4 linked regions of the Mus musculus genome follow. The protein of the gene in region 3 interacts with the protein of the main gene of each other region in a biochemical or structural test. Links are inferred from orthologs where the notes say so. Each region holds a gene or a part of one and is shown on either strand. Other genes may lie near its edges. The genes, in order: Ngf, Lrpap1, Sort1 and Sorcs1.

Evidence for each region.
Region 1: the proteins of Sort1 (region 3) and Ngf form a complex in vitro, tested with the Homo sapiens proteins (3 studies listed by BioGRID and IntAct, with this or other methods). The link is inferred for Mus musculus from reciprocal best matches to the Homo sapiens genes SORT1 and NGF.
Region 2: the proteins of Sort1 (region 3) and Lrpap1 form a complex in vitro, tested with the Homo sapiens proteins (4 studies listed by BioGRID and IntAct, with this or other methods). The link is inferred for Mus musculus from reciprocal best matches to the Homo sapiens genes SORT1 and LRPAP1.
Region 4: the proteins of Sort1 (region 3) and Sorcs1 form a complex in vitro, tested with the Homo sapiens proteins (2 studies listed by BioGRID and IntAct, with this or other methods). The link is inferred for Mus musculus from reciprocal best matches to the Homo sapiens genes SORT1 and SORCS1.

Annotation. Positions count from the first base shown.
Region 1 is NC_000069.6:102,515,226-102,522,903, reverse strand, and holds the end of Ngf (beta-nerve growth factor isoform B precursor), read right to left. Parts: intron 2,794-7,678; coding exon of another isoform or gene 2,782-2,793; coding exon 2,056-2,781; 3' UTR 1,891-2,055; downstream 1-1,890. UniProt on the Homo sapiens protein: Nerve growth factor is important for the development and maintenance of the sympathetic and sensory nervous systems.
Region 2 is NC_000071.6:35,094,005-35,101,884, forward strand, and holds part of Lrpap1 (alpha-2-macroglobulin receptor-associated protein precursor), read right to left. Parts: intron 5,275-7,880; coding exon 5,153-5,274; intron 4,270-5,152; coding exon 4,149-4,269; intron 3,686-4,148; coding exon 3,527-3,685; intron 2,055-3,526; coding exon 1,972-2,054; intron 1,023-1,971; coding exon 846-1,022; intron 1-845. UniProt on the Homo sapiens protein: Molecular chaperone for LDL receptor-related proteins that may regulate their ligand binding activity along the secretory pathway.
Region 3 is NC_000069.6:108,279,894-108,288,251, reverse strand, and holds the start of Sort1 (sortilin isoform 2 precursor), read right to left. Parts: upstream 4,189-8,358; 5' UTR 4,112-4,188; coding exon 3,812-4,111; intron 1-3,811.
Region 4 is NC_000085.6:50,219,009-50,226,888, reverse strand, and holds part of Sorcs1 (VPS10 domain-containing receptor SorCS1 isoform 1 precursor), read left to right. Parts: intron 1-29; coding exon 30-147; intron 148-1,659; coding exon 1,660-1,790; intron 1,791-4,652; coding exon 4,653-4,766; intron 4,767-7,880.

The sequences.
Region 1 (7,678 bases), about 5.8 Mb from region 3:
GTTTCCGTTAGAGATCTGGATGTTGAGTCAGTTCTGTAAGCTGGCCAAGGAGAGCCAATGATAATTTTTCAGATATTCCCAAAGAGTCTGGCAGCCCTGGGCACAGCTCTCCAGGCATGGCTTTGGTGGTATAGCCACTCCGAGGCACCGCTGCTCTGCGTAGATGCTTCCAGAATATCTCCCTCACCATTACTCTCCTCACATCCAGGACTTAGCAGGTCTGCCTCCTAAGAGAAGAGCTTCATAGTCTGCTCATGCGAGGGGCCTGGGACTTTTGAGGCCATGGAACTGGAGCCCTGCAAAACCCACAGACGCAGGCCAGAGGGAGAGCTCCCCTTATCTGACCCAGCATCTCAGCACAGAATGTTCTGGTTGGTGTTTCTTGAACATAACTCTATTGCAGTTGCAGTAGCCCTGATAGAAAAGGCCATCACCATCCTCCATCAGGCTTTCACCCTAGTCTAAAGGTCTGCACTGCAGTCTCTCAGTTTCCTGTTTGCCCCATTTGAGTGAGGGTTAGGGTGGGTCAGGGCAGGGAGGTGTACAGAGGAATTGAATGCAACCTTTTTTAGCTGATGGACAATTTGGGATGTTTTTTTTTTTTTTTTTTTTTTTTTTTTTTTTTAAAAACAGAGTAGACATTGTTATCCTTGGAGGAGAGGTGTGGACAAAATCTCCCTGTGAGGTTTCCTATTCTAGGGGGAAAAATTGTGGCTCGAGGGAAAAACAATAAACAAATAAACAAGATGAAGGGTGTGGGGACTTTGACTATGTGGAGCTGGTCATGCCCTGCTTCAGGGAGGATCCCGTAGTCTCTCTGTTGCCTTTATTGCTCTGGAGACAGTGGGCATGAGCACATTAAAAAAAATTACCCCTTCTCCAAAACTACCCAGGGAACTGGCTGTCTAGGAGGAAAGGGCCTTGGTAAAGGATAGACAGCAAGTATGTGCACATGTGTACACACAACACACACACACACACACACACACACACACACACACACGCAGGCATGCACCTATGAACAGAAAGCAGCTGTGTCATACTGGCTTGGGCTTTCCCCTCTCCATCTTCCAGAGCTTGTGTTGGTCTTACTATATCTGTTCTACCTCAACTCTCTGATCTCTACAGGTCTTGTCCCAGCCAGCTCTGTTCACTTGTGGAAATCATCTAAGTAAGAGTAAAAAACCTTCAGAAGTTCCTTTCTGACCGGTCCCTGCCTTTCTACTCGGAAGCCGATGCTGGGTTGCCAGGGCCACCGATAGTTGCTACCTGAGCTGTTCCGGTGCGTGGGTGGCAAGAGGTTTGGAAGCCCTGCTGTTTTCTTGTGGAAGTCTTTCTGCAGGCAGCCACAGGGGAATAGTAGAGAAGCAGCCATCAGAGCAAAGGCAATCTTAACATGAAACCAGATCTGCCATGACAGGCCTCAGGAGATGATTTTGTTACAGCTCCTTCAGGCTGCCCATCCAACTGACTGAAGCCAGGAGACCCGTGAAGCCTCTACTTATCCACACTGGGAGTTCCCAGTATCCTCGAGGACCAACCTCAGTCTCTCAGAGACTCTCATAGCAACCTGCTTTCTGCCCAGTCTCAACTGCTCTACTCTCCTCAAGAGAGGCAATCAAAGCTCATGGATCCATGCTTAGCAGATAATCCAAGGATTTGGCAGACTTGGCTCTGGAATGTAGACCAGAGCCTGCAGGCTGACTTCCCTCGCTAATCATGCTGGGTGGGTGTAGAGCAGTGTCTGAAACTAGTTAGCCAGCCCCGGAGCAGGGCTGGCTGGGAATGAAGGTTTCAGATGGGCTATGGTGCCAGGAGTGATGGGGACAGTTCATTTCCGCACTCTCTCAAACTTTGTGGGTACTCTTACTGAGAGAAAGGACTCAAGTGTCGGTATACAGGATGCTTTGAAAATTTAATAAATAATGTCTTTAAAATTGTATAAACGATAAATTATCATGCAGTCCTTATAATTTAAAATAATTTACAGGCTGAGGTAGGGAGGGGCCCAGGAGAGTGTGGAGGGGGCAGGTGGGGAAGGGGGCTGCAGGCAAGTCAGCCTCTTCTTGTAGCCTTCCTGCTGAGCACACACACACAGGCTGTGTCTATCCGGATGAACCTCCAGGCAGCCTGCTTCTCATCTGTTGTCAACGCCTTGACGAAGGTGTGAGTCGTGGTGCAGTATGAGTTCCAGTGTTTGGAGTCGATGCCCCGGCACCCACTCTCAACAGGATTGGAGGCTCGGCACTTGGTCTCAAAAAAGTACTGTCTGAATACACTGTTGTTAATGTTCACCTCGGCCAGCACTGTCACCTCCTTGCCCTTGATGTCTGTGGCTGTGGTCTTATCTCCAACCCACACACTGACACTGTCACACACTGAGAACTCCCCCATGTGGAAGACTGGGTGGGTGGATGAGCGCTTGCTCCGGTGAGTCCTGTTGAAAGGGATTGTACCATGGGCCTGGAAGTCTAGATCCAGAGTGTCTGAAGAGGTGGGTGGAGGCTGGGTGCTGAACAGCACACGGGGTGAGTGGAGTCTCCGTTTCTTAAACAGTCTGGGGTCTACAGTGATGTTGCGGGTCTGCCCTGTCACTCGGGCAGCTATTGGTGCAGTAGGGGCACTGCGGGCTCTGCGGAGGGCTGTGTCAAGGGAATGCTGAAGTTTAGTCCAGTGGGCTTCAGGGACAGAGTCTCCTTCTGGGACATTGCTATCTGTGTACGGTTCTGCCTGTACGCCGATCAAAAACGCAGTGATCAGAGTGTAGAACAACATGGACATTACGCTATGCACCTGGAATAAAAAAAGATAGAGGTTACCTAAGTTATACTGGGGAGTGGTGTTAAGCATTATTGGGAAGGTGTCATGCTCCCTCACAGGGTTCTCCCAAGAGGATGCCAGGAGGCTTCATTGGTAGGCTATGGGTAGAGAGCCTGGATTCAATACCCAAAGTAGAACACTTGTGAGAGAAAAGTACGGGCAGCAATCACACTTGGATCTCTGGAATTAGCCGGAGCAGGTTGTGTGGTCATTCTGTTCTGGGAAGCAACAGGGTCCTGCCTAGAAACTTGGGGGTCTCACTCTTTGGGTTCTGTGACTGCCAGCTTGAAGGGCTGCATGGTGATGGTGCCTGCACCCTGAATGTGATTCCCTTAGGAAGGTTCTGGAAGGCATTGAAGCTAGTGTGGCCTGAAGCATCAGCACTGGATTTTTTTTTCCTTCACTCAGTAGCTCTGAGCCTGGAGACTGAGCATTCTTGAAATAAATCCACAAAGCATCACAGGTAACTGAAAGTTCCGGGGGGTGGGGCATTCTAGTTAGGAACCGCCATCTTTCTTTCCTGTGTAAGGAGGCCAATCCACAAGGAACCAACCTACAGGCAGAAGCTAGGACAGAAAGATAATCAAACACCCCTTACCAAGTCCGTGTGTATGTCTTCCCTCCTTCCCCTTCTCTCTTTCATTTTTGAACAGGTATTTTCTTTTTCTTGCTTGAAGGTGAGTATAGAACAAATATCAGGCTCAACCAAGCTCACCCTGAGTGACGCTAGAGTCAGCTCTGTTCTGGGGACCATGGTCCTACCCATACCGAGCACCAGCTCACACCTGCAGATTTGGATCAAAGGCCACCTCCTTTGTGAAGCTTCTGCAGATAATGGCTGGCTCAGAGGGCTCTCCCACAGTGTTTCCCAAGCCCCCAACTCATCTTTTCTCTCATCTCCTGTGCTGATGGATCATTTTGCCTCCTCCCCTATTGTTTCAGCCAATTTTGGACATGTCCTAATCCTTGAAGCTTTCTCTAATAACTCTAACATAAGTGCTCCATCTGTCTGCCTGTCTCTGTATTTCTATGTGTTGTGTGCGTGTGTCTGAATGCATGCATGTGTACTCTTTCCTGCTGAATATGTATCTATATCTATATGTCTGTATGTCTATATCTCTATATGGCTATATCTATATATATTTGGAACTGAGAAAATTTGGATATCCAGCTCAGGTATTTGTCAGCATTTGAAAGCCATTTAATCAACTGCACTTTAGTTTCCTTGAGGGCAGTAAACATGATTTTCCAGGCTGAATATTTAGATTAAGCACGTGTTGATTCTAAGCTATCACATCTCTATTAAGACAAGGACTTTGTCTTCTTTAGTTCTATCATTGCTGTCCTCCCTCTGGGGCCCCTCCACCTGTGGGTTTTCAGAGCATATTGTTTTTCCTCTCTCAGACTTCTATAAAGCCTGTGCCTTTGTTCACCCCGTGTCTGTGTGGTCCTAGAGGACACAGCCTTGTGTAATCTGCCTGGGTGGCAGCCTCCTCCATCAGTATGGGGACATGTATCTTGTGCCTTTCCTTCACCTGGTGATGTGGATAATCATTCTCATGTCTGTCTCCCTCCCAGATGGTGCTTTAGAAGCCACGTGACTTTCATTCCATTCAATCACTGCATGGCCATATACAGTGTCTGGAATGTTATAGCTCCTCAAGAAAGAAGTGGAGAATGAGGAAAACATTGAATGGAGATTTCAGAGAAGCCCACCCTTTGCTTTCTATTATAGTCATGGGTCCTTTTGACTGTTCCCAGGGCTGCACAAGGCCTTCTCATCCGCATTCAACCAGTGAATCCCATATAGTGCTATTCTTCTTGGTGGGATCCAAGAAAAAAATCCAACCACATTCTTTTCTCTTCCAGGAATGTTTTTTGTCGCTCCACTTCTCCAGCCACCCGTACAGAGGAGGAGGCAGTCGGTACCTGAGTTTTTGACTCCCCCTCCCAGATCTGATGGTAAAAGGTCTTGCTGATAATTGTCTTGCCAACTCTTGGAGAATTGATCATTCTTTTGGCAGCTCATCCAGCCTTTTATGTCTGATCCTTTTCTTGTTCCACGCCTTTCTTCTCGGTACGCATTATCTTTCATCAGGTGAATTAAGGCAGAAGACACAGAACTCAAGTCCATACTTTTATACCCAAATTGGTAACACCTGTTAGAACTGGATCAGGAACTGAGGAAAAGTTGACCAGAGTATAGGGTTTCAATGGAAACAAGGCCTGCCTTGCTGTTTCCCATTGTCTCATCCTGGAAGCTCCGCTGGGGAAGCCCATCTTCTTCTAAGCAGACTGCTGACTCCCATAGCTCCATCCCTGGCCCACCTGCTCCCTTGGAGCACCCTCTAGACCTCCTGCTTCCTGAGGGCATCTCTCTGTGGATATTGGCAGTCTCAGTGCAAGACATCACTGAACAAAACCTTCATGTTCAAGTCCACCCTTGTCCCACTTTCATCTTCTGGATCAGAAGTAGTAGCCAAAACCACCTGGTTTCTTCCCCCTAACAGTTCCACAGTCACTCTCTCCATTGTTCCTGTTTCTCATTCTCCTAAGTGGCGTCTTCACATTTTGCTTTCCCATTACTAAGAACATTATGTGTTCATTCACCAGCTGCACATCTCAGCTCGTCCTGGCCTCTGGTCCCTGCCCTTCATCCAGACCTCTCTATGTTGTCTCTCCAGTTCTGCTGGAGTATCGTTCCCTGGAGCTGTAACTTCCTTTCCAGCCTCACTTCTGTGTTTTGGGTTCAGATGGTGGGACTACATTCCACCTGATGTTCTGGACCTTCCTCTGGTGCCGTCTCCCCTGACTTCCACCATTAGGCTTCTTAATGCATTGTTCTGGCCTCAGGAACTCAGTCAAAGAAGCCAGTGGTGAGCCCTTGTCTTTGGCTCACTCAGCCTGGCAACTGCCCCACCTCCTCCCACTTTACCTCGCATCCCACACACACGAGCTCTTGGCACAGCTCCTGCCCTGTGCTTGGGCTCTTTCCTTCTGGTATGCTTCCCCTGCACTCCCCGTCCCCTTTCTGCTCTCTCTATCTACTGTCAGAAGCCATCCTGTTGTCTCCCAACCTCTAACTTCAATGGCATCACTGCAATAACTTCTGACTCTATGCCAGTGGTTCTCAATCTTCTTAATTCAGTTCACAATTCAGTTCCTTATATTGTAGTGACTCTCCCAATCATAATGTTATTTTTATTGCTACTTCATAGCTGTAATTTTGCTACTGTTATGAATCATAATATAAATATTTGTGTTTTCTGATGGTCTTAGGCGACCCCAGTGAAAGGGTCATTTGACCCTCAAAGGGTAGGCTACCTACAGGTTGAGAACCATTGCTCTAGGCAGAGAAATTCTCCCTGGTACATTTGTCTTATGACAGGTGTGTTCTCTTATCCTCTCTGATGGAGGGAGAGAGCTCCACATAGGCAGAAATCTGTCTGCTGCCTTGTTGTCTCCTGTGACACCCACACCTCAAAAGAGCATTCCGTGTGGAGTCACCTCTTTCCTTCTGAGTGTCTTGACTGCTCTACCTGGGGGCTGATATTTAAGGTGTCTACAGACTCTGACTTTCTTAATTTATGGAATTATAAAGTTCTCTACTCTATATAGCACATCCTCACTCTATACAACAGACTCCACAATGATTTAAACTCTTAATGCTATCTGTGGCTTTGCTGTTGGGTTAGCACATGGTATCCATGGTCATTCGGTGGCAGTGGAGACTTGCATTATGGACAGATAGATAGTTCATTAAGAGTTGATCCCTTCAGTTTTTTATTAAAATGTAATTTGGGAAAACCATATTGATTTACTCAAAATGGTATGTTCCCAAACTTTAAAAAAATTATTAGAAGAGTCTCATAGTTATTGGAAAGTACAGAAAAAGAGAGTAGTAATCCACACTGTCTTCCATTCCAGTGACACAATGCCTTAGTATCAAAGAGCATTCTCTCCTTGAATGAAGTGAGCTAGGGACGGTTGATTTATTTATAGTGAACCTTTAAAGTCTGTGTCCTGAGCAGGTGGCAGCCCTCTGTGTAGCATTATGGCACATGTCTGAGTGAGACGTTTATCTGGGAAGGGAAGCTAGGGCTCACATGAAGGAACACCTTCCGTTTCAGGTATAAATGTTCTTGGCTTTGTCATGCTTCTATCCAGAATGGAAGTTAAGTGGCTGGGAAAGAGAGGAGCCTGTTCTCGGGATAGCTTTGCCCCGCCTCCATCAGCACTCTTTCCCTGGCTAACAGAGTGTTCTGTGGATTACCAACATTTACCTACAGAGTAGAAGATGTTCCTGTACCAGTGAATAATCTTTACACAGGTCTGGCCCTATCTGACTAGGTGATGAAGCTGCCAGTCAGAGCTAAACCGTCAATCCTAACTGGTCCTTGTCTTAAGTTGCCAAGAGGCTTACCAGCTAGGCCTGCAGAAGTGCCTCATAGATGGGAAGAAGAGAAATCTCTGTCTTACAGAGAGATGTTAAGAGCTAGTCACAATTCTTGGGCTAGAGATCAGATCTGTGAACCTGGGTCATCAATTGCTGGCCAGAGAAACAATTCTTGTGACTAAGAAAATCCAGCCTCCTCTACCTCACTGGCTGCAATCTGACAGAAGGGTCAAGAGGGTCACATTTTGGTTTCAACTTGGCCTCCGTTCTAAATGTAAGATGGTTGCTGGTTTCCATTTCAGGACTCGAGAATTTTGCTAGAGCCTACAAGGAGTATAAAAGGAATTCAAGGGATCCTTAACTCCCTTGGGAGGGATCCATAAGGTGTCCTGGGATTAACACAAGTGTGTGGTGACAGAACAGAATTTCTACTGGCCTACCCAAGACTCAGGAGGAGGCACA
Region 2 (7,880 bases), on a different chromosome or scaffold from region 3:
CAATGGCCTCTGAGCCCCAGAGATTTAGGCTCCTGCTGTTCTATGCACTATTCCACTTCTCAGAGCTTATTTATCTTTGCGCAGTTAACTCTCTGCTCAACCTGAGAAGGTATAGGAGGGAATCGCCCATGCTGGCCACAGCCCCAGATCCTTCATGAGACAGGTGTGCTGGGTCCTCGGGGTTCCCAGCACATGTGGGGACTGCTGACACAGCTGGTCTGCCTTTGCTTGTTCTGCTTCCACTAACCCAGAGATTGTTTCTTTTTTTTTTTTTTTTTTTTTTTTTTAAGATTTATTTATTTATTATATGTAAGTACACTGTAGCTGTCTTCAGACACTCCAGAAGAGGGCGTCAGATCTCATTACGGATGGTTGTGAGCCACCATGTGGTTGCTGGGATTTGAACTTTGGACCTTCGGAAGAACAATCGGGTGCTCTTACCCACTGAGCCATCTCACCAGCCCCCAGAGATTGTTTCTTAAAGGGCTCCTGGGGACCCCACTGCCTCTGCAGGCCACCTATGTCATATCCCCGTGTGGCCAGTCTGGGATCCAAGCGCACACCTCAGCAGGCCAGGAAACAGCTCCCTGTCCAGAGGCTCCCTTGGCTGCTACGACGCTGGCTGCCTTCCATGTCTATCTACAGGCATGCACATCTGATCTGACATGTTGTCTACAGGCACAGTGTCTGCTGAGCATCTCCCATGCTGAGTACCCAGCCACTCACAGTTCCAATGGACTGCATTTGTGTTTCCCTGAGTCAGGAGGTCATGTTTGTCTAAGACCCAAGGGAAGGCTGAACAGGACTGGGCGCAGGGACAGAGGAGTGGAGGACGGCATCCCCACCTTGTAGCCCAGCTCCTTGGTCTTCTCCTCCAGCAGCACGTATTTCTCCTTGTTGCGGCTGATGTGCTCGGGGTCGCCGATGCTCTCCACGTGCTTCAGCTTCTGGTGGGAAATCTCCAGCTGCTTCTGGTAGTGGTTGTGCTTTTCAATTTTGGCCTCAAAGTGCTTGAGCTCCTCCTAGGACACATCAGGAGCTTAGTCTCCCCCCAGTCGGAGCCCTGAGGTGCCTGTCTCTTGTCCACCGATGGTCCAGGCCACGGCTGGCAACTCCCGGGCTGCACGCCTGAGAACTGCACATGCTTACTGCTACGAGTCTCTAAACAGGGATTGTCCACCAGAACCTGATAGCAGTGGGGACCTTTGAACTCCCATCCCTGGATACCTTCTTTCCCGATGACTCGGGATGGTCACCCATCTTCTACCTTCAGGAGATCAAGACTAAGGCAGGCTGGATTTGGGGATCTAAGGTCTCTTCCCAGGGCCACAAAAGCTACACCCTCGTGAGGATAGCCTTGTGCCCACCTCACTGGCCCTGCCCCTTAGGGCTCCTTTGCTTCTCACAGGTTGCCTGCTGCTGGAATCTTCCCTGCCTGCTCCCTTTACCTCCTGGGTCCAGTGATCACTGGGAGGTCAGTGGTGGCCTCCAAAAACGCCACCTCTGGAGCTCCTTGGGCACAGACACACTGGAGAAGTCTTGGATGACTTGGGGACCTTGACTATACAGGTCCCAAGCAGGTCCTATCCTACCCTAAACAGCAAGAAACTCTCAACAATCCCATTCAGAAGGTATTGCCCCCATCAGCTTCCTGGAGCTCCTCCCACACCGCACGCTGGGCCAGGCACATGGCCGCTCATCCCTCTCAGCCCTCACAGCACAGAGCAGGGCAGGCCACCCCACCATGCTGCACACAGGAAGCACTGGCACTGCTGGCGTGAGTGGCGTGTGCCCGCCTGCTACCACTTGACTGCCGACCAGGATGATGGGGACAGCAGAGGCCAGGGGCAGGAAGGAAAAGGGTCAGGACAAAAACACAAATGCACTGTGGGATGAGGAAAAGGAACAGAGAACCTGGCCCCATTGGAGACCACAACAGAAGGCGACACAGCTTTGTCCCTGTTTCCTTACCCTGAATGACTCCAGTTCCTTCTCAGTGAAGTTGGCAGACTGAGCCAGGTCCCACAGATCTATCACCCGGGGCTCTTCAAACTCTGCAGGAGAGCAAGGGCTGTCTATAGGTGGCAAGTCAGGACACACCTCGGTGCTGGGGGCCAAGTGGCTTGTCATCCCAAGGGAATAGTGTGGGTTGCAACTTGGGAGCACTAAGTACCTGGTCTGTGCTCACAGCTCCAGCTTAGATGCAGCTTGATTGAAACCCGGCTGCACCAGTGGAGGGGGTCACATGCTCTAGACCCAGAATCAACTGCTACCCCTGCCCAGGGCCATCAGCCTGCTCCTGGCTCTCAATCAAGGGGGTGGGGGAAGTGACTGAGAGCAGCGGTGTGACAGGACCATAAACATCCAGCTGGGCACTAGGGAGGGCTGTCACCAAGTCAAGGCTGAGGTTTGCCCATTCACATTTTAGCTCCCATGATCCCTAGACTAGGTTCCCTGGCCTCAGAAAATCCTGCTGTCCACAGGGCCCTTCCCATCCATGACCCAGGAGAACCCTGGTTCTCCAGAGAATATAGGAGTTAGACCTATATTCCCACAGGCAGGCCAGTGGGAGAAGCCGAGGGACTTTTTGGATGCAGCTCTCTAGGAGATGGCCCATGGAGGGCAGGATGGTGGATAGAGAAAGTGGTGACACGCAACACTGACCATGGCCAGGCTCCCTTTTATAGCCCCACTGGCCTGAGACAGCACGCAATCTCTGGAGAGGGAGCAATGACTTCACAACAGTCCTTGAGCCCAGCCCCACAAGAGCACGCCATGCCTGCAAGGCCTTGCAGGTGCTCCCCAGAAGGTTTGCCTGGGCCCATGCTGTCTAAGGCTGTTCATGGAGGACTTTGTCTGTTGCGGGACACAAAACTAGCCCTGCCTCCCCAGTCCCCCACAATGCCGCCTCCTGGAGCCCCAGGGATAGACAGCAAGCCTGGCCCTAGCACTCATGTAAGTCTTGAAAGGGTGGGGTTGTCACTGCAGCAGAAGCTGGCACCCTGTTTGATACAAGGGCCATAGGCCAGCATGGACCTTTGGCTATCCCAGACTGGGCTCCACTGGCAAGGGGGTTCAGAGACAGTCCTGTGTGACGTTTACCAAGGCTGAAAGACAGCCTGGATGGAGGGCCACTCTGCTACCACTTCAAAATAAGTTTGATGACAGGGCTGATGGCCGACCCAGAACAATTTTCAAAAAAATTAACCTTTATTTTATGTGCATGAATGTTTTGCCTGCATGTATGTCTGTGTACCATAGGCAGACAGTGCCCGCGGAGGCCATTAGAGGGCACTGGATGGCCTGGGCCTGGAGTTACAGATAGTTGTGAGCTGCTATGTGGGTGCTGGAGATAGAACCCAGGTCCTCTGCAGTAGGCCAGTACTCTGAATCGCTGAGCCATCTTCCCAGCCCAGACACTTATATTACAGCTCCAGGAAGTGGGGCCCAGGACAGGCCACTGACAACTGAGTATGACAAGTATCCTAGATACTCCTGGGCCCATGCACCTGTCCCCAGGGCTTACCAGTGGTGGAGCCATAGCCCTGGTGGCTGACCTTCCGCAGGCGGTCCAAGCCCTGGTTGATACTGCGCAGTCTGTCCTTCAGCTCACTGTGCTTGCTGATCAGGGTGTCGCTCTTGATGTGGGCCATGTCCGAGGGACTGAGAAGGTTCTCATAACCTTCTGTGGAACAAGACACAGAATGTTTGACAAGAACTGGCATCTTAGTCGCCAAGATGGCTCCACGTCCACCCACAGGCCATACCTCTGCAGCTCTCAGAGCTAGCTAATAATGGATGTGCTTTCTCAAAGCATCTAAGTGTGGATGTCTCAGCACCTGTACCCAAGGCTTGCCCCAGGGGTCTCCATGGTCCCTAATGCCTCCTACTTTCTCAGGCCCCCTACTTGGCAAGGTCACACTACTTAGAACTCACGGTGGCTGGCTTAGGTTAGAGCGGTGGCCTGTTACATCAGGGCACCTCAGTCACCCCAGAAGCAATCTGTAGAGCTGTACTGACTGATATAAAAACCGTATGCATTCATGAACATGGGTAGAAACATAAGAGAAGCGTTCCCCTCCCCTCCCCACAACCCTAGGCAACCGTGTCCCACTGTGCCCACCCAGAACACACGGGCGTGGGCAGACCTTCAGCTCTGCTCAGTGTGTCTAGCAGCACATTGTACTCCTGGATCTTCTCTTTGTAATGCAGAAACTCTCTCCACAGCTTGTCCAGCTCTTCACTGGAGAATTTCCCTGATGTCTTTGCCTAAGAGGAAACAGCCTGGGTGACCATGTCTGTCCAGTCATCAGCACACCCCAAGGAGTTAGGCGCCTATCAGCTGCGTCCTTGCTCCAGGGCAAAGAGCTTGGGGCTGTTCTTACCCCCAGCAAGCCTTGTGACCCTCTCCTAGGTGTGTGCACCAGGAAAAGAAAAATCAATTTGGAAGCTCCTGATGGGCAGTGCCTCTGTTCCTTGAAGTCCCGATTTGACAGGACTGGACAGAGAAGGAAAGGGAAGGACTCTGCGGAAGGGGCCTACATCTGCCTAACTCTTCCCGCTGTGTACACATTGAGAACAGCAGGGCCATCCTGATAGTCCAGCAGGGACCAGATCAGTGTAACCCAGACAGGCTATCCCAGGAGCTGGACCAAGTGAGCCTGTGGCACCGAACCAATGCCATATCCCAGTGTTCACCCCACACCTGTGCTCTTTGCTTTGTCTGCACCACAAAGCAAAGGTGGGCCACACCCAGTGCTGCCCACTTTCCCAATCACAGTATCAAGAGCCCACGCCAACATCTGTACACAGCTGAGGGTCCCTTTCCTAAGCCCAGAAGCAAGACCACAGACCAGACAAAAGAAAGGAAACACAGCTACCTGACCTGACTGACAACTGTGTGATTTAGCCACACACCGTGAAGAGCACATCTAAGACTGCAGTCCTGACAGCTAGGAGCAGCTCTGCTGAGCAAGAGTAACCAACCAGGACAGCTCAGACTTCACAGAAAGGAGAACATGCGCACAGATCATGTCTCGCGGTGGAGCCAGCAGCCTGAGTTGGTGTAAAGGTGACAGCAGACACAGAGCCCCCCAGTCCCACATCGTTGGCACGTGTTTCAGAAGACAAGGGGGAAAATGGGAGGTGGTACCTTGTGCCACAGCTTTTCCAGCCTGGGGTCCCCCAGCTCATCCTGGGTGTCTTCATTGAGGGCGTTGCTGTGCACCATCTGGGCGTCCTTCCTCCCATCCAGTCCGTATCTGGCCAGGATGACTAGAGAGGGGGCATTTGATTTTTATTGGACACTGTCTCCCTTACTAGGCAGAAGCTGCCACAGGAGCCTGTACAATGAGTCTGCTTCTCCTTTTCTAGAAGATTCCTTTCACCCCCCACTGAGCGGCTACACGAGACCTGGGGGAGACACGCACCAGCTTAGGTTCCCAAGGCCAGGGACTCACAAGGCATCCTGGGTTCCAACACAGACGCTCCCTGCTTGAGCCCTCCTAAATCAGGAGCTCATGGGCAGGGAGGGTATGTGCTGATGTTTGGACTGAGCAGTCTCCTGACATCCTGTCAGAGTGATGGCTAGGAGAGGCTGGCCAATAGGCACCTAGCCTCTGAGATGTCCAGGCTCTATGCATGCCCACAGCCCTTCCACTCTGGAGGTCTTGGCACCCTTTGTCACTCACACACAATGGGCAAACCTGCCAGCTGACTTCAAAAATGACTGTCCTGTAACTTCCATGCCCCTGCCAGCCAGACTACCCTGGAACTTGCATGCCACGTGAAGCCACCCATGCCTGCTTGGTGAGAGGGCTTGCTTGATCCCTGCTCTTAAGGGCAGAGAGACTCCTAGGCCTAACTTCTGCTTAGCTGCTGGGGATCTGTCCCTCACCTGTGACCCTGTCTTCTCTGGAAAGGGTACAGAATTTCTGTGGTGCTACTTTGTCATCTCTAAGCTGGTGATCCCAGTATTTTCTTGGGCCTTCATCCAACAGCTCTCATTGGGCAGTTCCACATGGCACCATGGTCTCCATGCCCTAGTGGGTCAGGGGACACATGGTTCACAATGCAGCCTCCCACACTGTTGCTTCTGATGGGCTCTGCTTTCAGTCATAACCTACCCTGCAAGTGTCCCTGCTGCTCAGTTTACACTCTGGGGGATGGCTACCCTTTTCCCAGGCCTAAGAATAATGGTGCTTCATAGTGCCTAGAAGCTTGAACCCCCACTCCCCTACCCCCGGAGATGGGAGTAATACACTGCAAGGCTTGCATTCCCACTGTCCTGCATCTCTGATGACCACAGAAAGCCACTTCTACTGATGGGTCAGGAGATAGCTGTGAGAGGACAGCGTGGGTGCGTACACCGTGACTTGATCTGGACTCCATTCGATCTAACTTAGATCTTACAAAGCTATTTTAAAAGTGGGCAGTGGCTTGAGCTTCTAACCTATGATGATTGGGAGGCTTAAGCAAGAGGAATGCTTTGAGTCTTGGCGTTTGGGCGCAGCCTGGGCAACACAGTAAAATCAGTACGCTCAGATACCTCTTAGCCTCAGAGCCAGTGCCTGGCACTGCCTCTGCAGCTCTGCTGCCCAGCCCCAGCCTGCTCATTGCTTGCTTGCTACCATGGAAAAGAGCTGGTCACCCCCAACCTGGGTCGCCTTGGTGCCCAGGGTGGGTCAGGGTAGGAGGAGAACTAAGTGGGGAACTCGAGCTCCATTAGACTTGGGCCCATAGGCAAATTGCTCAAGACTTCAGAGTTGAGACTGAGCAAGCTCCGAAGTGCTTGCTCTCTATGAAATGGAGTCCCAGGGAGCTGAGCAACTCAGGAAGTTCCCTGCAGTGTCCAGGCCCAGCCTGGGGAATGAGGCAGCCCTGGGAATGGCAGTGGGCATGTCCCTGAACAGCTTCCCCACAGGACTGAGGCCATGTGAGGTTTTGCACTGGACCGGAGGGTCTAGATGATGCAGTTCCCATGAGACTAGCCCTTAAGGATCTGGCCTGGCCCAGGTAGAGCTGGTTATAGTTAAGGGGCCCAACCCTTCATATGATTACCAGCAGCATCTGTTTCTTAGACAGAAACAGATAGACTCTGCATTTTGGTCCCCCAGATGAGGGGCCAGTATTGACAATAACTTGAGCAGTGAAGGGAGGGTCCAAATGGACCACACCCAGAAGGTGTCCTGCACCCATCTCCAACAGCAAGAGCTCCACCAAGGGCTTAGAAGGGTCAACTTCATGTGTCAGCTCCTAATCCTGTCAGGTCTGCTGCTCTATGAGCCAGACCCTGTCAAGCTGGAAGAAGCTAACCCCACCCAGGACACTGGCTAGCCAGACGACGGTGGTCACCAGCTCTCTTCCTGGCCTTCTGCGTTCCTCTATTTCTGAGCCCAACTCTATCTCTGCAGAGCTGGCTGCTCACTTCCTTCTGGCAGCTCCCAGCCTCCTCTCCTAGGAAGCCAACTCCACACTCACCATCAAGCCTGAGGAAGGGACTCTATACAGAGCAACTCCTGCCATAGCAGAGACCTTAGCACTGAGGGTTAGTTCTGAGGAAGCTGCTTGTATGAACCATGGTTACAATTCAGTTGCTTATAACAGCCAACATTAACTCCCATCACCCATCCTGCATACCAGTAGTACCTTACAGAGGGCACTACCCTCAGTTTGGGACTACTATGAGAGGCAGGGCATGCCTAGGTCACGTGGAAAGCAGTGTGTTAGCACAAGGAGTGGGGGTATGGCAGTGATGGGGGTCAAATGTGCCTCTGGTTAGCCAGTGAGTGGCAGAGCAGGGATAGAACCTCACGCCCAGGGTATGCAGAAGAGTTGGTGGCCAGTCTATGGGCTAGGTCCCGAATGTCACAGGGTGGCAC
Region 3 (8,358 bases):
TTCTGGGATAGTAAAAGGCAACAAACAACCCTCAGCTCTCCTGCTGTTACAAAGGTTTGGTGATCCCCAACAGGCAGAGAGCAGCAGCTCCCTGCACCAGCCAGCAGACACACTGAGTCCTGTCAGCCTGGCCTCAGCTCTGCCAGCGGGGCAAACAAACACAAGCATTCTTCCCGGTGCTGAGGCCTTACAACAGCCTCTCTCCAGGGCCTGTTTACTTAAGAAACCAGATGCTTTGATGTCGGGGTAGGAGTTGGGAAGCTCTGTGTAAAGCAGTAGTTAGTGACAGGAGCAGGAGAGGGAGAAGAGAGAGTGCGCAACAGCTCCTGGCCTATTAATCCTAACTTCAGGAACTTTTAAGGAAATTATCCAATGGTCTGTAACACAGGAATGAGGAGGGAATGATGTCAGCCTCCGCTGCAACTCTGGCCAAGGCATTTCTGCTGTTTCTTTCAGGCTGACTTTCATGCCGACCCTCAAAGGGGTGCTTATGGGGCGGGGGATGTTTTGAAGCAACCCAACTTAGCAACCAACGTTAATAAAAATCTTCTGGGCCTGCTCAGTTTCTCCCATGTACACAGGTGATGTGTGCTGTGAACACGCCAAGCACACAAAGGCCACAGTCGGTTAATGCTGGGGCCTGACACCAGTTTGGGACTACAGGTAAATAAAGGCTACTGCGTCTAAGAGAGTTTGTGGACGATCCCTAACAGGGAGAGCAAGCGCTTTGTAACTTACTGGGTGTAAGTCTCAGGGACCGTGAATCTGCTAATACGGAGCATATTTTTATACAGTCCTGTTTGTTTCTCATAAGCATGCATGCTTAGCTCCATTTTAAAGATTAGGACTGAGACATGGAATCTTAAGTAACTTAGTGAAGATAACATAATACCAGCGAGGACCCACATGCAGGCAGGGCTGGCCTCACAGAAAGCCCTGTGGTGCTGCAGCACCTTTCCCTGGCATGCCAAACCCTCAGAAAGAAATCAGGAAGTATCTTTTTTTTTTTTTTTTTTTTTTTTTTGGTAAGATGTAAGCGGTGACCTTCGGCCTGCGTCTTGTTGCCATTCTTTTTCCTGTTTTAGTGACATCCAGTTCTTCTGTCACTTTCTTACAAGTCTCCTGTTCCTATTGTCAATACTGTAACTAGAAAAAAAAAAGTATTTTCTCTGCTCCCTTAAATCCCACAGAGACCTGAATCAAGCGAACAACACACGCCTTGAAAATAAACACGGCCCACTTGAAAGGCTGAAAGGAGACCTAGAGAGAGGCAGGGGAGCTTACGGGAAGAAGATTTCATGAGTGACAGAGCCCATGCCACAGCATAGGGTGGAAGTCTCGGAAAGTCATTAGACAGGCATACACTTTGTTTTGTGGATTTCTTAAGATTAAATGCTAGGGCTGAACATATGGCTTCGTGGCAGGCACTTGCCTAGTATGAGCAAGGCATGGGATTCAATCTCCAGCGCACGCTGAAACCTTTAGCGGTTTATGTACTGTCAAGTCTGAACTACCTTTATAACTTGGCAGCCCCTTTCCCCACCCCATCTCCGGGCCTTTGGAAAGCATTCAGGTGCACTCATGATAGGACACGAAAAGAACAACAGGCTGTGGGAAATAAGAACTTCTGCTTTATGGGGGAAAGGTAAAAAAAAATTAAAGAACACCTTCCTACTTCAACTGTCTGAGACCATACAGTGTCTCCGATGATAATAAATAAGTAAACACGCTGCTCTGGGACGCTGCTGATTTTGTCTCTCCTTGTTACAAAGGATCCCCCAACACCAGATCTCTTCAGTCTGATGCATAAAGATGAATTATGACATCTGAAAACAGCAGATTATTTCCCAATTCCTGAGAGGAAGCAGAACCTTCGCAACGGTTTCTACGCTGAAGGCTCCACTCTGGAAGGGTAACAACTGGGGTGGGAAAATCATTTGAAATAAAGACTGAAGGGGAGAAAGCAAGCTGTAACTAAGTTAAATGAACTCGAGAAAGCCCCCTGCGTACGAACTTCAAAGGAGAATCAGGTTTCTTTGGAACTGGTATACTCTAAGTGACATTCAACCGGGAACTGTTGCGGATTTGAAGATGGGTCATCCAGCAAGAGAAGAATTGAAGAATGTCGGGGCTTGCTGGTGCAGAGAGCTGTGGGCCAGGGATAATGGGCATGAAGTATCAGTGGTAAAGGTAAATTCTTTCTCAACACCCTACAGAGAGAGAGAGAGAGAGAGAGAGAGAGAGAGGTCTACACAAGCTTATTTTACTTTTTCATTAAATAGGAAGACTTTCCAGTACTCATTCCATTCTCTCTGATCGGAGAATTAGGTCACAACTAACAAGTATGGATCTCAAAAGAAACCCCAAGGGGACACTGAGATTTGGGGGGATACTGAAATGGAATGTAAACAAAGAACGGGTACAGAACTCCAGCCACCCACGGCCACCTTCATGAACAGTCTTTCTTTGGAAAAAAAGGAAAGACATAACACAGAAAATACACTGAACTGAAAATGCCTTTCTCATACATGGGTTGCAACAATTGTTAATTTTAGGAAAAAAAAAAAAAGAGGAGGAGGAGGAAGATGTCCTAGTTGCTGAAACCAAGACTTTCCTAACAATTTCTCAATGCAGCAGTGTGTCAAGGTTCAGACTCTTGTGCCCAAAACAGAAGCACCAAATCTTTGAAAGTCTTGACAAGAGCAGGCTTAAAGTGACTATCTGCAGAATGTTTCATAGTTATTAGAAATTAGGACAGGATAGAGGTGTCCCAGTAAGGGTTCAACACAAGGTTATAAGTCAATTTTGAAGGAATGAGACAGATGACAGGATCTCAGCTGGCTGCGGGTCACACACAGAAGCCAATACCAGTTCTTGTGCAAAAAGAGTCTCCTAATAGGTCAACTTACAAGGAAACAAAGCACACTGGAGCCAATCTCCAGAATGGGTCTGGAGCAAAGGGATTTAAAGATCCTGTAGTATGCAGAAAGAGGGGGCTGACTGGTTACAAACCAGACTCTTGTTTGGGACAGTTGGCCACTCTGTAAAGCCATTTAATGGAACTTCTGGATGATCCGAGCTGTTCTGCAATTGCTTCTAATCTAGGTCCTAGAGGCCGTTTTCTGTTCTCTGGGTTCTGCACACAGGAATTTGGTTCGGAATACCTCTCAAGGTCGTTTTGGGTCAGGTTAGAGGGTTCTGAGCCTGCATCCTGAGGAAACATCTTGAATCAGTTTTTTGTTTGCTTGTTTTTGTTTTTAATTTTAGGGAGCAGGGGAGATATCATTTCACGGTTGGGTTTCAATGTCATTTTCATTTCCATGAGTGTTCCTTTAACTATGGAAACACAAGCCATGACCTAACAACTGCTGTGGGATTTCTGGACGTCAACCTCAAAAGTACCGACCCAGGGAGGGCACACCTCTGCTTCTGGGCTGTCCAACTTCTGCGATCACTCAAGGGGTAATTATGCCTCCAGCTTCCTGGTAGGTACCAGCGTTGGTGGACCCGGCGTTCTATATTCGGGGTGGGGGTTGGGGGGGGGGGGGGATGACCGGGAGATTCTGACAACTTAAGAAGCAGAAGCAAAGAATGCAGCGAGTCAAAGTCTCGGATTGCCTCGGCTATGACGACACACAGCCCCACGGGCCGCAGCCACCCCGGCCCCCGCCGCCCCCGCGCCTCGCCGCCCTCCGCAACCGGGGTCTCGCGCTAGCCTCGAAGCGTGCAATGGGAGCGGAGCGGCCGCCTGGGGCCGCGGGCCCGGAGGGGCGACCCAACCGGGGCGGGCGCCCGGGCCTCGCGCGCTCACCTGGTGCGTATTGTTGGTCAGCTTGGCGATGAAGTCCGGGAGGCGGCCGCAGTCTTGGTCCTCGGCGGGCGCGCCGCGGCGCCAACGGCCAGCGCGGGGGACGGGGCCCCCGGGCGCGGCGGCGCGCAGCCCCCAGCTCACCCCGACCGGACCGGCCCAGCGCAGCAGAGGAGGCGCGGGCGGCGGCGGCGCGTCCAGCCGGTCCTGGCCGACGGCGGCAGGAGGCAGCAGTTGAAGGAGCAGGAGGAGGCCGAGGGGCCAGCGCAAAAGGCCGTCCGCAGCTCCCCGGGGCCGCTCCATCGCTGCCGAATGCAGACGCCGCTGACACCTGCCACCCGGCGCGCCCGCCCACCCCCGCCGGCGCTGCGCCACACCCCCGAGCTCGGCCCCGCGCTGCTTGGATACGCGCAGCCGGGCCTCTCCTCCCCAATAGGCTGGCCGCCTGTCCTTCTTTCCCGGCCCACTCCTCATTGGCTCGCGTCGCCTCCGGCTTCGGGGGTCCTGGATTCGGATGCCAAGATGCGGGACTGATTGGCTGGAACGTGGCAGGGACGGCTGAGGTCATTCTCCACCGTCGCTCGGCGTCTGCGGGCTGGGCTCCCGGAGTTGGCCTAGGGGTTACCCCTCTCCCCTCCCCGCTCAGCCTGCAGGTTGGCGGCGCTTCCGGAGACCCTCGGGTTAGGGTTGGGTCACGTTGCCGCCTTCTCCACCCTCCTCCCAACCCCCCTCCAAACGCTCCTAAAAATTTCCTTCGGTGGAAACCGCGCCTGGGAAAGCCAGGGAATCCCTGAACTACTACTCTCAGTTGGAAAAGGGGCTCCGACATAAACTGGTACATTAGGATTTTAACCCCGGCTCGCTGGCTCGCCCATTGTCTGCTGAAGGAGCCAAGAAGGTGAATGCGAAAATCCTATGGGGCAGATGAACATCATTACACCCGTGTCTCATGGAAGCCGCAGAAGTCTTTCCAACATGTTTGGCCTCAGTCACCTTCCTCATCTGCAGGGAGGTAGTCAAGAGGCGAAAGTACTTTTTGGCTTCTGCGGACTTGGAAATGTAGGTAGCTTTGCCACCAAGTGTAGGTATACGGGAAGAGAATTGCCTAAAGCCCACTTTATATATTATCATTTTAGTACAGTCACATTCTGATTTTAGTTACCTAAAGCACCCTTAGCCCTGCAGTAAGTGCATCACACCAATTCCCTCACTGAATATGATGCCTCCTAAATGAATACCCACCTCCAGCAAATAACCTCCCCACTGTTCCCTACACCGCAGAAGCTGCTCACACAACTTTTAGAACATGCAGTGCTGGTAAAACCAGTTCTAAATCCTTAACTTCACTCCACCTCTTCCCAACATTTCAAGTTGTTCAGTCGGAACTCAGGAAGCCAGATAAAAAGATACAAAGTATGCAAAATGTTATACCAGAGTGGAAGCCATTGGAAGTTACTTTTAACTTTAACAGTAAACTCAAACGGCAGGCCTACCCGAGTATGCACACGGAATAGTACAAACAAAACTATTTACGTACTCGGGAGTTTTTCCTCTCCCCAAAACCACAGTAAGAAGGGAGCTGTGAAGCTCTGGAAAGCGGAACAGGATGGCAAATCAACAGAAAAGCCCTCCAGTTTCTGAGCCACTGAACAAGATAAAAACTGATGAGTGTGTTTTCTTTCCAGAAATATAAACGCCACATTATTTATTTTTAAGCACAACTTATTTTTAATTCGTGTCAAGTATGGATTAGATCACAAGGCAGTCAGTTACAGTAGCATGTGACCAGTTACGGAGGGGAAAAAGGGGGCTACAAAGGAATATTTCTTTGTTTGGGTGACAAAGATGAATGGTCTATTGTCTTACTATGGGGAAAGAAGAAAGCTAACTCAACAGTGCTACCTGCTGGAGAAACTACCAGATACATCTTTTAGCTATTTAGTTCCATTAACGTTTAGATTTTGTCAGTTTGTTGAACTGGGGAGTCTTTTTTTGTAGCCCAGGGTGGCTTAGAGTCTTTGATCCTCCTTCACCAGCCTCCCAAGCAAAAATATCAATATGAAGTAATTATCACAAAGCTATACCTTTTTGTATGTAAGATCATTTCTTGAACACAACATTTAAAGAAAAGTAACCATCTCTTTGAATTATTCACATTGTAATTATAGCAGATAATGATACTTACTGTTCTCAGTTATACAGACATCCTGCCTTAGCAATAGGAGGGACTGTAAGCTGGAGGGCTACACTATGTTTTCCCTTCGCTTTTTTCTCTGTATATTCTTGAGTGACACACCTCTTCAAAGCAACGTATTCTTTTCCACATCTGCATTAATCTATAGTGTTAAAAGCAGTACTGGACCTGGAGCAACGGCTCAGCAGTTAAGAGCTTACAGGATACCTGGGTTTAGATCCCAGCACCCACGTGGCAGCTCACAACCACCTGTAACTCCAGTTCCAGGGGATCCAATGCATTCTTCTGACCTCCTCAGGCTCCTCATATATACTTGGGTACATGTGCGTGCGCGCGCGCACACACACACACACACACTCACTCATACACATTAGAGATGATTGCCTCTTTTTCCCACTAGAGGTACTTTTCTTAGACTGTGGGAGACTACAGATGACCTTTCACAGCTATGACAGCTTCCCAATAAAATTCTTAAATGACTGGTGGTTAGAATATGCTTGGGCCAGAGAGTGGCACTGTTAGGAGATGTGGCCTTGGAGTGTGTCATTGTGGGTGTAGGCTTTAAGACCTCATCCTAGCTGCCTTGAAGTCAGTCTTCTCTAGTGGCCTTCAGATAAAGGCCTCCTGCACCATGCCTGTCTGGATGCTGCCATGCTCGAACCTCTGAACCTATAAGTCAACCCTGATTAAATGTCCTTATAAGAGTTGCCTTGGTCATAGTGTCTCTTTACAGCAGTGAAACCGTAAGACAATGACTAAGTTGATACAAGATTCCAGGGGCTAAATCTCACATGATACAGGATTAACATCATAACAGGATTAACATCAGTAGAAATCTGCAGAATGTTGAAAATAAACCCAAGTTGCTTTCATTGTATGTGTGGGCAAAACTTCTTCCTTTGCTGAACTGATGTTTTCAAATGTGTTTCAGCACACGCTACTTTTCACTACACTGAATTTTGTATGAAATCAGCTACCATATTACTACTATTTAGTATCAGAGTACAATTTCCTAATGAAAGATTACACAAAGCCCAGCAAATAATTCCTAAGCCATCAAATGAACCGCAATTGACTAGAGGACTAGCCATGCTTCAGCCAATGCAAACCACATCTCAAATTGCTGTTGAGACTTGCTGGTTACTCAAGACTTGGTGATCTGAAACCTTGAAAATCTTGAGATCAAGTCCCAACAGGTTTTTGCTAATTTAAAACAATTTTTAATTTTTAAAACTCCTGTGGATATTGTCTTCATGTCTACATAGCAGGTGTATGCCTGGTGTCTGAGGAGGCCAGGAGAGAGTGCATCCCTGCCACTGGAGTTATAGATGATGGTGAGTTGCCATGTGGGTGCTAAGAACCACACCTGGGTCCTCTGGAGGAGCAGTAAATGCTCTTAACCACTGAGCCATCTCTCCAGCAACAACTTAATTTTCTATGTCCAATGACCTAGCTCTTTATCTGTTAGGAGTGTTAGGAGGTTCAAATGGAATGACTATGAGTCGCAGCCATATGGGAACAGCTCCAGTTTATAGTGCATTCCAAAGTCCAACAGAAACTCCTTCTGAATTTTACAATTCTCTTATACAGCTTAGGTATGTAACTCTCATTGCAACTGAGATCAAAACCAAGGCCATTTCTTTTTTTTTTTTTTTTTTTTTAAGTCCCCTTTCTAAGTTTTTTTGCAGCTCTTAACTTCATAAAAAGGGTACTCTTCCCAGACTGTCCATTAAGACACAAAGAAGTAGCCCCAGGAGTCTTTTGATGGTCAATGAGCAGTGTTCTCATATAAAGGAAGCAAGAGTGTATGTTTCCTTAAGAGACACTCAAGGGCCAGGCAGTGCTGGTGCACACCTCTAGTCCCAGCATTCGGGAGGCAGATCTCTGAGTTCAAGGCCAGCCTAGGCTACAGAGCTAGTTCCAGGATAGTTAGGGCTACACAGAGAAACTCTTTCTCAAAAACCAACCAACCAACCAACCAACCAACTAACCAACCAACCAACCAACCAACTAACCAACAACACCAACCCACTCAAAGACTTAAAATGGATTTCCAGTCGTATTAACATCTACTAATCACTTGGGAGGAGCTGGACTAGTCTGAATTAATCGTCCAGTATCTCAGGCTACAGCTGTCTGAGTTGCAGAGAACCACCACAATGTGTTTAGTTAGGACAGTCATGCTCACAGGAAAGGTATGAAGGGCATTAATTACTATCATCTTTGCCTACCAACATAAACATTTAAAATTATAAGATCACAGACTATTAACAAATATTTTTAAATTTTTTTATTTCAGAATTGCTGTTATGTACAGACTTCATAAAAAAACACACACACATATACTGGATATTTT
Region 4 (7,880 bases), on a different chromosome or scaffold from region 3:
GACTCTATCTACCACTGTAAACCCTGTAGAGTGTTTGGACACTTCAGTCATCGTTCCGAATGGCAGCTGGTCAAAGTGGACTACAAGTCCATTTTTGATAGACGCTGTGCTGAAGAAGACTACAGACCCTGGCAGTTGCATAGTCAGGTAAGAGTTAGAGAAATAGCATTAAACCTTGGAATGGAGGCAGAGGTGTTATGGATAAGTGACTAGGCTGAAAAACCTGGAGTTCTTAAGTCCACAGTACAGTGCCCATTTAATTCTTCCATGTTTTATATCTCACAACATAAGGAAACACATTTATATTCTGTTGTGAAGCTCTCTCTCTCTCTCTCTCCCTCCCTCTCCCTCTCTCTCTCTCTCTCTCTCTCTCATGCTAGGATATAACAAGATAAAAATTCAAATGTGCTTCAGTTAGATTTACACCTCAAAATGAAATATGAGCTCAGCACTGAGAGGCAAACATAATTCGTCTGAGTGTGGCATAGGGCTGCCTGATAGAGGCCGAGTGAGGGACGGTTCTTCAGTTTCAACAAGCAATGCAAACAGAGATAAGGCATAAAATAGTCAATCGATGCTGGGCGAGCAATGCCAGAAAAGTCCTTCCACATTTCTATGATTCCCTAGGAGTGTATAGCAGCTCTTGCCTCCTGTGAGATACTCATGGTATAAGAGTGTGAAATCGCTGATAGAAAACCACCTCATCCCTCTCAATCATTCATAGTGTATCACAATCCTTGGATGAGAGCTTTTCTTTTTGATTTCCCAAGGCAGAAGTCAATCTTCAGGCTATTCACAGGATAGGATAGATGTACCCCCTAAGCAGTCATGACCATATTCAGGCAGTGAAACATCTTCCATTCCATTCTCTGACTTGGTAGTGTATTTATGCATGATGTGAAGCGAAGTCAGTTGAAGAGAGTTTCTTCAGTAAAGACAGGGGATAATAGACTTACATTCTGCCTTAGCTTTCTCACCAACACAAAGGTGCTATATTTGCCAGTGGGTGCAGCCCCAGCAAGGAGCAGCCACTGTATTCAGAGGCTCAACAATGGAATGCTCGCTCACACCAACCACCGTGTTTCTCTCTTTGATGTACGTGCATTGTGACACCCAAAACTTCTATTTAGTTTTTGGAAAAAGACTGAACTGAGCTTTCTTGCTTGTCTGATAGGCGATCATAGAATTGGTGCTATAAAGTTATGTAGAAAGAAACATAGTAATCTGAACTTAAATCAGTTTTATGTTTCATAGCAATGCTGTTCTTTCATGTGATCATAAATGACCAACTGCAATTCCTTTATAACAGGAAAACGGAACTTAATTATTATAGGTTAGCAGGCAATTCATTAGTTGCAGGATAGCCACATTCCGTGTCCTTCATTACACTATGCCTAACACACTGACAAAGAAAGCTATGCTTGATATATAAAGAGTTAAAGCTAATATTAGAAAAATAAGCATTGTTTATTGGGGTTGCCTTTGTGTTCATACTTCATATTAGGCGTCAAAACGGAAATACTAATAGCGTGAATTGGGTTCCCAAGGATCATATTTATATTAAAGTTTGTGAATATCTCTCCAAATCACACTGTGAGGCTGCAGGAGAAGTCTAATCTTTGTGCTTGATTTTGCATGCTATTTGCCTCCTATTTGCAGGGGGAAGCATGCATCATGGGAGCCAAGAGGATATACAAGAAGAGAAAGTCTGAGCGCAAGTGTATGCAAGGAAAGTATGCGGGAGCAATGGAGTCTGAGCCTTGTGTTTGTACAGAGGCAGACTTTGACTGGTGAGCTCCTGTAGTTATCCCACAGAACTGTTCACTAATATGACATCTGTGAAGCCCTGAATAAAAGCTTTAACTTGAGAAAGTGGTAAACAAAACTAGCGCTAAGTGGCAGACCTTATATTTTTATTAAATTCTCTCTTGGCCACATCACGATTTTTTTTATTAACTATGTGAATGTGTCTTTCAAAAGAAATCAGCGGTTTCTTCTTTGGATTTTAAGAGGGTTTACAAGATGGTTGGCAGTTATTTTCATATTGATGCTGGATAGTCAGAAAAATGGAGACGCCAAATCTATCTCAAGCTTCTTTAGATAGCAATATGGGAAGCACTAACTAGAGCTCCCAGAAAGCAAATATGTTTATGTGTTACGTAAAGTTGTTTTAGCATTGAGCATCCTTGGTAAGCATAATATCCACAAAAGACATAAATCCTTTGTCTGTGAACGTTTCCAGCCTGTGGTGGTTGGCTAAATGAAGCTTATGAGAGCATTGAGTGACATTTATAGTCTCAGTACAAGAGTGGACTCAACTTGATCCTGTGAACTGAGTGATAATAAAGCTAGTTTAACCTGGAGAGGCAGAAGAGACATTGGGAGGCTTCAACTAAACTCAGCAAGCACTAGAGTTCTTCCAGACATTTGCTAAACATTGGAGAGCCAATGATCTTCTTGCTTTATTCTTGTTTAGTATTTAATGAGCGGGTAAAATTGAAAAATTATTTAAGAAGTCTAATAAGCCACCATATTTTCTTTTGTTCTTTCCCTCTTTTTTATCTATTTCGGAATAGGAAGCAATTAATATATATTTATGTAAATGTTAAAAACTAAAAACTTGAAACATATATAAATTATTAATTCTTACTATTTTGGCTATGTGACTGTAACAGCTCACATGTATAGTGTCATCAAAATGTGAGTGACTTATGTGAGACACAGGCTACACATGCATCTCAGACCATAACCAGGTCAGTCTCTTCTAATGGTAGACCACTAGAGATGTTCTCTGAATTAGAGGTGTTGAGAAAGCCTGCCAGTTGTCAAACAAGTAACCCAACATTGCTTTCTCTTGTTGATGAGCAAGAAAGACCAAGAGCCAGCATTTTAGCTCTTTGCACTTATTGGAGGGTATCAGAGCTTCAGCAATAACAGAACTCATGGACGTTCTACAGGGGCTTCCCCTGTATGCTCTTATGTCAGTGATATGTAACTGCAACAACAAAACTGCCTTATCTCTACCCTGAACTTGGGACTGATACCCAGAAAGATACTCACAGAAAGACCTACCTTGAGATTTTGTCATCCATCACATCCCTCTTTCTGAAGCCTAATTCTTGATCATTTACTATACTGAAGGAGAATTTGCAAAGTAAGTTGGCATGTTATATCACTGGAAGAACTATGGCTCTGTGCAGTATCCATTCTTCATACAGAACAAAAATATCTGCTAGAAGGAAATGTAAGAGAAAATGTACCCTAAAATTCTGCCTTTTTCATAAAAAACATTTTCCTCTTTGAATCTTTCTTCCTAAACCATTTCAACATAAGCCAATATTTTGGTTTTGTTCAAGGCAAAAAAGAATGTAAGATAAGGAAATAAATTAGGCTTCTCTCCCTATTCTTGCCCCATGTCTGTCTTGTTTAGGTCATTGAATTCCACTGGTGACTGGAGTCTGCTACCAGTCCCAGAGGCTGAACAGAACTCTAAGGAGTAGACCGTGAGTCTTAAGTTGTGCTCCTGTGTGGTTTCTTGCTCAAATGGGACTACATGATGATGAAAATGTTTTGGAAGGCTCACTGTGTGCTTGTTGGGCTTCTTTTAGAAGCTGGATTTTCTACAATCTTACCTGATAGTAGCATAATGAAAGATGCTCATTGGATGTTCTTTGTTAGCCAGGCTCCCTGGATATTGTCCAAGTGACACTGCGTCATTCTCCAGCTTTTGTCGGGCATTTCCTTGAAGTGAGCACTGGGTAATTCTGGAAGTGGCTATTCTGTCATCTTCCTACTCATGCTGGGTTGAACCAGGCCCTAATCTAGAGGGATGTACAGAATATGAAGTTCCAGTTGTCTGATGACAAGCCCTTGAGGCTGAGCCCATTTCTCCCTCCATGTCCATGGTGTGCCAGCATCTCACCTCTATCACAAAGATGGACCAATTTATACTAGTGCTTGCCCATTGCTGCCTGTGATTTGTCTGTGCATGTAGAGGTACAATTTGTTGTCCTTTTCTGTGCCCAGTTTTACCTTCCAGAAGCCAAGAACATCAGAGGTCCCTGGAAGCAAGAATGAATAGAAACCAAGAGAAAAAAATTAGAGCATTTTCAATGCAGAGGCAAGATTTAAGGCAGTTGTTACCAACTGGTAGTGAGAAATGCTGAGGACAAAACTTTTCCTTGGGGAAGCGCTTGAGAGACTCCTGAAGGGCATTTTCTTTTTGGCTGTAACTCTGAAGCATATGGCTTATACGCAGAGAAACCTGGCTCTTCTCTACTTGTTACAGCCAGATGTTTTGGAAGAGCATCCCAAAGACATCACTGGTAATGAGGACTGTACCACATGTGGCTGTTTTCACCAAGACTCAAGCTCCCGACTCAGCCATGTTCCTATTTACTCTTTCTCATTACATGAGACCAAAGTCATTCCTCTCACCTTGAAGGCATCAAAAGGGGAATATTGGTTCTATAAGATATTTTCATGGGTAATAGATAATGTATAGAGAAAAACTTTTAAGTCCTAGAAGACTTAAGCATTTAGGCAATGCTTATTTTATTGACTGATTAGAAGTTGGTTGTCAACTACTATGAAATAGTTCTGAATAAGTTTGCCATCTGGTAAATGTTTCGTCTTGGGTATGTCCCCAACAGTGACTATGGCTATGAGAGACATAGTAATGGACAATGCCTGCCAGCATTTTGGTTCAACCCATCCTCACTGTCAAAAGACTGCAGCTTGGGACAGAGTTACCTCAACAGCACTGGGTGAGTTTCTGTGGTAGTAGGCTTCAGGGGCCAACCTTGGATGATGATGTTACTCTGACACAGTTCCTTCTGATCATACACCGGACTTGTTTTCCTATAACACAATGCATTTTTGATAGAATGTCATTTCTTGTCACTATATTGCTGCCATTAAACATTTAGCATGTGTGTTTATGTGTGTGTATGTGTGTTTGTATGTGTGTGTGAGAGACAGAGACAGAGGGGTATGTGTGTATGTGCAAGGTTATGGGGATACATGCTTTGGAGGCCAGGGGTTGAATTCAGGTGTCTTACTCAATTGCTTCTCAATGGAATATTCTGAAACACCATCTCCCCCTAAATATAGAACTCACCATTTCATCAATAAATGGTTGGCCAATGAGCTTTAGGTATTTATCTGCCTCAAGGATTTATAGTGCCACTTTGCCTAGCTTTTCACATATGCCCCGAGAATCTGATGTCTGGTACTTCCTCATGGTTGCATAGTATGCTATCTCTCCAGCATAGATTTCTCAGCTTTTTGGCTCACATATTTAATTTCAAAAGAAATATACAGGTATGTTTTATTTAGTTAAAAGTCCAGTTTAGTTCATCACTCCAGTACTGGCCCCATTTTCCTCACAGCTCTGATCTCTATGCTGTGTAAGTTTCCAGACATTTTCCTTGCATTTTTCCAACAATAAATTTCTCCAAGAAAAATACATAAAATCCACATGGAAGATGACTGTTATATGGTTTGCTATATTTGTTATATGTTCTTCTTTAATTTGCCTTTTTCACTCTAAAAATATATCTTAAGCATCTTTACAGGTCTGATTAGATCGGGCTACTTTCATACCTTTATATTGCATCCTATTCAATAATAAAGCATTATTTAATTATTATTTTTCATGGATATTTGGGTTATTCTGTTTTTTTAAATGCCACTATCAATAAAACTACAATTAACATTCTCTACCACAACCCTTGTTGTTAAAAACACTCGTAGATAATTAGAGTTTCCTTTGTTAATTAGAAGTGTTTCTTTTAGCTTATAGAGCAAATTACATTCAGCCAACTGGTTTCTTTTTAGGCTCATGTATTAGGCATTGTCAAATTTTCTCTCACAGAGATGAAAATTGCAGTTTCTGCTCACATACTGCTAGGCTGTTCTAGAGACTAAAGAGTCATCTTAAGTAACTTCCATCCTCTTGAAAATCCAGTGGATTCTGCCGAGGAAAACTTAAATGGAAGAGAAGTTGAGAAAGGTCAATTCAGATTCAGTGAACAATAAGACTGGCCCAGTTGGCAAGAGCTACTTGACAAAGTCACACTGTTGTTTAGAAGCCTTTAGAATTAAGTAAGCAAGTTGGACTAACTCCAACACTACCTTTAACCCTTGTCTATGCATTGCCAGGATGCAGTCTGTATCAGCAGAATGAAAGGCAAAGGCCTCAGGGTCATAAAATTAGCCTGAGAGCATGCGCTTGCCTGCTTCTGGCTTCCTAGACACAACACTCCCTCACGCCCTCACGCTTTGTCGGGTTCCAGAGCATGTTGCAGACATACAGGCAGAAGACGAACTGAGTGAGGTCTTCTAGCTAAAGGTTAATCACAGTGATGGTTAATGAACTAACCACAGAGCATGTAGCAAAGTCTGGGTCTCTCTCTCTCTCTCTCTCTCTCTCTCTCTCTCTCTCTCTCTCTCTCTCTCTCTCTCTCTCTCTCTCTCTAAATGGTTTGCTATATAAACAGTCAGCTTTAGACTCAGCATATTTGTCTTGGTATATAGCAGTGTTCCTAGGTTCACTCACTTCACCAGAATGGAAATTTTCATCATAGGTTATTATTCTTACCAATGAAAATGTTATTTTAAGGAGATACTAACATTTTTTTTTTGTAATCAACTTGACTGTGCAGAGGTGAAGGGCCTCACAGTTTGTTCTGCAATTGCTGGCCAGGATTTAGAAGAGACAGTTATAATAAGAAGTAAATGACTGAAAACAGCACCTACATGTCCTCTACCTTTGTTTAGTTCACTGATGTCAGGATTTCTGACATCCACACATAGAGGTGCCTGTCAGCATCTCTCTCCTCTGTATCCTTGTCTTTTTGGCCTCACAAGTCTTACACATTATCACATCCAGAGTCCAAGCAAAGACAATGAATCAAGTTTTCTACCGCAGAGGAGCTAAGATTGCAATGCCATTGAATAACTTTCACTTAGTTCAAAAGTGAGGTCCCTTGCTATTTGCTGTCAGGTTTGAGCTGTGGTTTGTTTCTTTGTGCCTCTCAGTTTCTTACCTATGGAAATTTCTTATTTGCATTCAGCTTGTGATTAAATGTGGTACTATATCGAGAATGTGTAGACTAAACCCCAAGAGACAGTCATTACTTTGCAAGATACAGATCACTCTAGAATAGGGGATTAAAAGAGAAAGGAAAAATCCTTTATTCATTGTGAATGTTTAGTAGAGGCATACATGACCTTTAACGGCCACTTCAGTGTTGGTGTCAGTGACATATTTAATCTACCTACCAGTTTCTCATCTATAAACTAGAAATAGTGATCAACAAAGGCTCATAATGTCACCTGATTAGGAAGTGATGTGTCAACTACTGTTATAAAGTCACATGTCTAGAATGAGATAGACCACTCACTGTAAACCAGAAGCTGTGTCTATTCCTCTACCCTGTCCAGGCCAGGCAACTAGTTTGCCTGATTATCGAACAAGTTCTGTGGTCTCAAAAAAAATATCCATTTCTGTTTTTTATTATATAAAGATAAGCAGGTAGCCCCAAGGAATCCCCTGTCTGCCCCACCTTTTGTGTCTTCTTAAGCAATGGCTTCATATATCTCAAGTTGTGAATGCACAAGCTTATTAGGTTATATTTATATGTTGTGTTTTAACTGTTTGGAACTAGAGAGCAAACTGCAAATTAAAGTTGCTAAATTAACCAGGACATTGGTTATATTATATTACAGTGAAAATATGGGGTCAGTTTATTCTACAAAAACAAGGCAGTTTTCTTAAGGGACAGATTTCTTCTTTTTATTTAGTTGAAGACATTTCTTGCTGTGTTCAAATGGATGTGTGTTGAAATCTCTGTCCATGTGAGTTTCTTTACAGGAGC